Linked DNA regions of Saccharomyces cerevisiae S288C. The gene in region 2 interacts genetically with the main gene of each other region. Each region holds a gene or a part of one and is shown on either strand. Other genes may lie near its edges. The genes, in order: MSC6 and PEX22.

Evidence for each region.
Region 1: mutations in PEX22 (region 2) and MSC6 together harm fitness more than expected from each alone (negative genetic interaction), as found in Saccharomyces cerevisiae (2 studies listed by BioGRID).

Annotation. Positions count from the first base shown.
Region 1 is NC_001147.6:1,000,550-1,005,388, forward strand, and holds MSC6 (Msc6p), read right to left. Parts: upstream 2,677-4,839; coding exon 598-2,676; downstream 1-597. Other genes in the region: SOG2 (Sog2p), read right to left, coding at 1-279; GDS1 (Gds1p), read left to right, coding at 4,588-4,839. UniProt on the Saccharomyces cerevisiae protein: May be involved in the control of meiotic sister-chromatid recombination.
Region 2 is NC_001133.9:40,456-43,550, reverse strand, and holds PEX22 (ubiquitin-protein transferase activating protein PEX22), read right to left. Parts: upstream 1,375-3,095; coding exon 832-1,374; downstream 1-831. Other genes in the region: ACS1 (acetate--CoA ligase 1), read left to right, coding at 1-670; GPB2 (Gpb2p), read right to left, coding at 1,650-3,095. UniProt on the Saccharomyces cerevisiae protein: Involved in peroxisome biogenesis.

The DNA.
Region 1 (4,839 bases), on a different chromosome or scaffold from region 2:
ATATTGCAGCCTTGATAACCTCTTGAAACTCGCTGGTAAGGATGTTAAGTGATTTTTCCTTAAAGACAGTCTTTCAACATTTTGGATATATCCCACATCTTCATCTGATATGGACTTGATATTAAGAGCTATTAATTTTAGTGTAGTACCACTAGAGCTGGATTTCTCTTGTGTTGCCAACTCAGATATTATAGTGTTGCTTGAATTAGTGGATGTTTTGTCAGCAGGCAAATGTTCCTCCTTCGGATCCAACGTCCTCTTTGAAGATGTCGCTACCATACGTTACGGATACTTATAGACTTAACTCCCCCCAATAAGTTCAGGTGAAAAGTAGCATGGAGTTTTGGCATTAACTTTATTTGCCCACTTATATTTAGAGATCTTGAAATACTTTTTGTTACCCGACTTGTAGCTTCATTTTTTCATTTTTTTTTTTTTTTTTTATTTTTATTTTGTATTGTTCTTTGAAAGAATCATGCATGGAAGCAATAACTATTATACGGAAGTTATATACAAGAAATCATTATATAGTTACAGCATCATATGTGCAGAAAATTGGTTCTGAGCTTTTCTTATTGTCTTCTTATGACAAGTGTATTAAGTCAACTTTTCTGGAACAGTAATTCCATCACATTCTTTTAAAATTTGAATATCCTTAGGGTTGGGACGAAAACCCTCATTAGTGCCTAAATCTCGCATAAACTGGTTAATAAAAGCAACCTCTTTGTCAGATAACTGCTGAGTATTGCGTGCAAATGTGGCCAAGTTGAATAGAATTTTCGAAACGGCCAAGTTCGACACCCTGATACTTGAATCCTTAGCTAGATTGTAGTACTTTTCGATGTAGGGAACGTACTCGCTATGTTTACTCTTGTAAAGTTTATCACAGAACCCCAATAATAAAGCATTTAGAGGCGTATTATCCACGTTTCTCTTTCTAGTCTTTTGATATGAGAGAAAATCAGAAAACAAATTCTTTGCCTCGGCCACTGTGCCGTCAGGCTTATTAAACTCTGCGGAAATAAAGTCTGCATAATTCCTAGCATTTAAGTGAGTTCCCAATTGTTTGTAAAGTTGACGAATCGGCTCGACAGTGGGGCACACTGAAATAAAGGCTTTCGTAATCTTTTCAACCTTTTCATAATCGGTGGGATTAATGGAAACACTTTGCAATAGATCGAATTGTGGGCGTGTATCTTCTGCCTGAAATTTATAATTAGCGTACATTTTAATGCTTAGAGTATCCAAAGTAGGGGGTAACACACCATCTGATGGATAATGGTTATAGTAAAATGTGTTGAATTGTTCTTCGCTCACTTTTTCATCATCTAACATTAGCAATAAAACTTTATTGAACAACTTCTTGGTTTTAACAGTCTCTGCTAACTCCCCTTTGACTTGGTCATACTTTAGAGGCGAAGTTTGACATAAGGCCAGGAGAAATGCTTCCTTCACGATGGGATCTTTCTTGAACTTTTTAGGAAGTTCTTCTTCCCAAAATTCCTTTAAATGGTTGAAATTTCCAGAATCAGTTAGTGCGTTAACTAGCGTCGCATAAGATGTGTTTTTAATATTATCTCCTGGTTTGATAACACTGTTCCAGACTGCTAGAATTCTGTCCAACTTCTCTTTACTCGATTTAGCTCGTAAGTGCGACACAGCTCTTAAAAGACAATCTTTCAGCGACGTACTATTTGGGAAAACCTTGCTATACTGGTTATAAATAGTAACAACTTGGTCGGGTTTATCCAAATCAATAAACTTGTCCATGAACTTGCTTATGATCTCTACATTTTTCTCACCTTCAAGTTTATTGTATTGGCCATAAAGATCCCTTAAATCTATCCATCTAGGAGCATTTTCAATTTGACTTAAGAAATGATCACTATCCTGTACTGTGTATTGATAGTACAAAGTGTTTAGATTTTTGATAATCACGTCTCTTCTTTCAAGAGAGCTAAATTCTGTACTTAACATTCTTCTAATCATGTTAAAAGGTAAAACCTGGCCCATTTTACGATCGATCTGTAAAATCTTATACAGAATATTGATATCCACAGTATTCTCTGGTAAAGATAAGTAAGCAATGGTGGTAATTGCAATATTTTGCATATGTGCACGAGAAGAACTATTTTGAAGTAAGATCACTGGGTTTTCGGAAATGGTTTCCAAGTACTTCACCCATAAGGCAATAACGTCCTGTGGTGATTGATTATATAGAAGGTACTTTAAAACAATCGTGAAATGTTGTGAGCGTGCCAATTTGTATTGGCACAATGTGTTTAATACTTGATAAGGATCTAGCGTCATATTTTTGCTTCTGTAACTTAATTCCTGTAGGAGATCCGAAGAAAAATTCGCTAACAAGTGTGATCTTTCCATAGGTGAAGGGTTCCTTAATTTCTGTTTCAACGATTCAATCTTATCTTTAAAGTCATTAAAAACTTCATTGATATCTGAATCTGGAGCTTTCAACTCGTTCTTCAAATCAGCAGCCAAATTTTGTACCCTTTCAAACGGTGAGACGTGCTTTTCTCTATTTCCTGAATGTCCATCATCTGTTTCTTGTAAGTGAACGCTGCTTTGTTGGTATATCGATGTTGAAGAGGTTAGACATCTTCGTGAAATAATCACCTTTGAACAATCAAAGGCCCTTAAAGCATTATGGGAAAGCATCTGTATCCCAGTGGAAGGCTCTGATATTATTTTGTGCAGAGCCAACTTAAGCAAACATATAGACAGTACGTCCTTAGTTAGACATGTGTAGCAATTGAACGATTCCACAGGCGGTATGTATATCGTATATGATGATATTACATTTTACTTACCCCGCTTTTTCCCTCTTATAATCGATTAATTACTTAGTCGACGAGCAACCTTTTATGGCATATTTGAAAGGTAATACAATGTTCCAACTTCGTTTTTTATTCACAGATCAATTAACGTATTGGCACACCTGATATTTCCTCAATAGTAAGTAGTTTTGGTGATGTAACTTTGACACTACCTTCGACCGAATATTCACTTATAAAACTTATATATTACTTGCTTTTACTTCTAACTTGTCTGGAGAGTTCAATCTTTGTTTTCAGCTCTATATACCGGTTTTCTGCATCGGCGGCTAAATGGTATTCTTTTCCGCTTGGCTCTACACAATGTTTATTAAGCTGAGCGTCGGTGTTTCCGATTTGGACCGTTTGACTTTCTTTTTGGACTGGTTTTCTTTTTTAGTACGAGGTGTACGGACAAAAGATACTAACGGACAAAACGCGGTTGCAACTGAAATTTTTTTTTCACTATTTTCGTAGGGCACATTGGTGTAAATATATATATATATACTCAAGGTTCATCTCGTTTTTTTTAATATTCTTGTTCCTTACTCTTGATCATACGTAGAATGTATGTCTTTATCCTGAAAGTAAAGAAAGGATTATACAATGCTGAAATGTTAGTACTAAATATGAGCATACAATCACTTGTTGTTCACTAGTTCAACGAGTTTCATTCATATTCAACTCACGCAAGGGATTATGGAAGAAGAATCCTTTTTATGAAAGGGAAAAAAAACCGAAATACTATGTTAACTGCTTCCAACGCTCTATACTAATGCGCATGAAGATTTTACTTGCGAATCAAACTGATTCGCACGCAATATCTAAGTCTGCTATACCTACCTTACATCTCGCCGTATGTTATGGGTGCAAGGGTGTTTTTTTTTTTTTATATTTTTTTTGTTTGGGGTTTTCGATACTTTGTGAAGGAACGACGCAGAAAAAAACGAAAATCATACGCCCGATGAAATTTTTGATAAGAAAATTTTCTGAAAACCCATGCGATGAGAAGTCAAAAATTTTTCTTCTTCTCCTTTTCTTGTACTTTTATCCCGGCTAGTTCTTTTTCTAAAATTTTCATATTCCAGTCCAATATTTTACTTCATTTTTTTTTTCTGTTCTCGCTTGGCTTGATTTAATTTTTTACGTAGGTTTTTTTTACACGATATTGTTTGTATTATCAGTATTCCCTTCAAGCTCCCCTTTTTTTTATCAATTAAGGTTCTTGGTAATTTCTATTTCTGAAAAACCAAAAACAAAAAGTCATTGATTGACTATTTGACTCAAATTACCAAAATCATAACTTTTCTTTTCAGCATTCCATTATTGAAGGCTTTAAAATAATAGTTTCTTTTTTCCTATTATTTTATTTTTTCCTTTACATTGGAATACATTTTATTTTGAGTTTTAATTTTTTTTATTTTCTATTCCATTGTTTTTTATTTGCTTTGGACTGCCCTTTTCGTAATAATTTCCCTTTTTACCCTATTTTAGTCACTTCTGTGTCAGCAAGCGGGATTATATAAAGAAACGTTAGCAGAAACAATATCAGCAAAATAGAAAATAAACGGGCAATCAATCAATAACTACAGAAATATTGGGAGGTTTTAACTAATTTTTCCAGGATATTTCAACTTTTCATAAATCAAATTTTTTTTACTTTTTTTTTTGCTTTGCTATAGTATTTTAGAAAAGGACAAAAAAATACGAAAAAAGACAAAAAACCATATAAAAAAATTGATTAGAAGAACTTATAATGGCATTGGCAAATTCCAGACCTTTGCAAATACCAACTTTAGAGAATGAAATTCTTCATAACTCAAATTCTCCAGTATTTCAGTTGAATTCAATGGGATTTACAACTAGAGCTGACACTATTTCGAATCCAGGCACGGATCTTATCGGCAACCAGCCAGGCATGGCCCTTGATGATAATAATTTGGCCGGTTCTTCGTTTTCCTCATCTCAGGAAATAAAAGCTACCAAACCTAAGAAGGACTTTGGTGCT
Region 2 (3,095 bases):
GGGTTCTGCCTCATTCCCCTTCTTCGGTATTGATGCAGTTGTTCTTGACCCTAACACTGGTGAAGAACTTAACACCAGCCACGCAGAGGGTGTCCTTGCCGTCAAAGCTGCATGGCCATCATTTGCAAGAACTATTTGGAAAAATCATGATAGGTATCTAGACACTTATTTGAACCCTTACCCTGGCTACTATTTCACTGGTGATGGTGCTGCAAAGGATAAGGATGGTTATATCTGGATTTTGGGTCGTGTAGACGATGTGGTGAACGTCTCTGGTCACCGTCTGTCTACCGCTGAAATTGAGGCTGCTATTATCGAAGATCCAATTGTGGCCGAGTGTGCTGTTGTCGGATTCAACGATGACTTGACTGGTCAAGCAGTTGCTGCATTTGTGGTGTTGAAAAACAAATCTAGTTGGTCCACCGCAACAGATGATGAATTACAAGATATCAAGAAGCATTTGGTCTTTACTGTTAGAAAAGACATCGGGCCATTTGCCGCACCAAAATTGATCATTTTAGTGGATGACTTGCCCAAGACAAGATCCGGCAAAATTATGAGACGTATTTTAAGAAAAATCCTAGCAGGAGAAAGTGACCAACTAGGCGACGTTTCTACATTGTCAAACCCTGGCATTGTTAGACATCTAATTGATTCGGTCAAGTTGTAATGATGATTTCTTTCCTTTTTATATTGACGACTTTTTTTTTTTCGTGTGTTTTTGTTCTCTTATAACCGAGCTGCTTACTTATTATTATTTCACCTTCTCTTTTTATTTATACTTATAATTATTTATTCTTTACATACTGTTACAAGAAACTCTTTTCTACATTAATTGCATAAAGTGTCAATCAGCACATCCTCTACATCGCTATCAACAACAAATTTGACAAACCTGCCTATATCTTCAGGAACGACTGCTGCATCGCTACCACCACTACTTGTGAAGTCCCTGGAGTTCAATATGCACTGAAATTTACCTAGCCGTCTTACACATGACCATAATCCATCCATGCTATCGCAATATATGATTTTGTGTTCGTTTTTCGTCTTGCGAAAGGCATCCCCAATGGCTTGTTTCATTGATCCATCAGTGTGGCTCGTAGGTACCAGCAAAACCACTTCATCAGCGGCGTACTCCTCCCACTTTATGGGCAGTCCTTGTATCGACTTGCTCATTATAATACATTTGCTCTTCCTTGCCTTTTTGTTCTCTTTTACTGAATCACCCTCTGGAGGTCGTGCCCCATTATCTTCCTTTGCACTTGTCACCTTTTGATATATATAGTAGGACGTGACCAACACTGCTATAGCTGTACCCACTATTCCTAATGTTCTTGTTTTGTTTATTCTACTTCTTGATGGTGGTGGCATGTTTTATATCTTCTTCTTCTTTATTCTTCATTATTGTTTCATTGTCTATTTCATCAGCACAATCTTCCCTTATATTTTATTTTTTTTTTTTCGATTAATTGAATTAGGGGACTATGAACCTAATTGTTAATTTTTTGCCAAAATATTTCGCTGGTATTGCGAAGGAGATTATTCTTTGAAAGACAAAGTGTTATGTGACTATAAAACAAAACTGAATATATTATATTCTACTACTAAACAAAGTTTACAAAGTGAAAGCATTGAAAACTGCCTTTTTATGCACTAGGATTTACGCTAGGAAAAATACTTTTCGTTATGGTACCATGTAAATATATTTCTTTTACATTGCTCCGTCTAGATATCAATCCGCCAATCAAAATAATACTTTTGTCACATTGCAAAGAAGTGCCACCGACACCAACTACTATATTTGAATTTGTATCTTCATTTTCGCTATCTTGTCTGTCCTCATCGTCTTCCTTCTTGGACAGAGTAATTTTATGTTCTTCCCAACACTGCGTGCTTAAATCAATTGTGTTCAAAAAATTACCACCCAACGGTAATGTATCGACCTTGCGTTTTCGAGGAGGCTCATCATCATTCTCCGAGTAAAATTGGTCAACATCCTCTTGTACCATACCACCTATACATACACATATTCGTCCAATACTTTCCATTCTGTGGCCAACGAGACCTACGTTCACACTATCCAATTTTTCATCACCGTCTTCGCTCGAATCTGCCTTTGCAAATGTCTCTATTGGAGTCCATGTCTCACACTCTAAGTCCATCAACCACATATCATCAAGAACGTTGAGACCGTTAGACCCACCATGCAATACAACAGTTTTACCTACTGGCTTCTCTTGGCTTAAAATTAATCTCTGTCTCCCTATCGCAGTCATTGGAATAGATGACGATTTTCTCCCTGGATTGACTATATAATTTTCCAAATTATCGTCCATATCGGGATCAAAGCTCGCAGCACTTGCGCTGCTGGCCGAGGCACCAGCTTTGGGCGATTCTTGTGCCGCAGAGCCACTATTGAAAAGATCTTGATGCGTGCCATGAACCATCATGGGGAAAACCGGTTTAGGACTAACAACGCGATCCTGTGATATATATGACGGTTTTAAAACAAAATGGTTTTTTAAGTTGTTCAATAGTCTCATGTCAAGAGAACTCCTATCCATTAACGAAGTCCCATGAACAGAAAAGGCAGAAAAGGCTCTTTCTTCGGGCCAATCCGATTTGTCCTTTTCGCTTGGCGTCAGTAGTATCGCGTTAGCTGTCTCTGAAAACTTACAATAACCTTTTTTACCGCGACGTATCACGGGTATCTCTATCTTCCACAAATCATTCATTGCTTCGTAACGATCATCACCGGTTTGTCTGTAACCACCAAATATTATAACCGTGTGCACAGTATTATGAGGTAATGATGAAAGTACTGCTGCTTTTTCAAGCCGCCCGGAAGTGATGCTGCTACCTTGTTTCATGGAAGCACTCCCCATTTTATGAATTTCGTTCATGCTTGAAGAATGAACGCTAGCTCTCCTATTTGGATTATCAATAGAAATTTGTAAGTGACCAAACCTCGATGACATTGTCGGATATGCATTATATTTGGAAGGTTGTACTATGATATCTATTTTAGTGAACTTGAACGACATAATATCGAGTATGTAACCAGTGTTATTCACATATAATCTTTTCTTGAG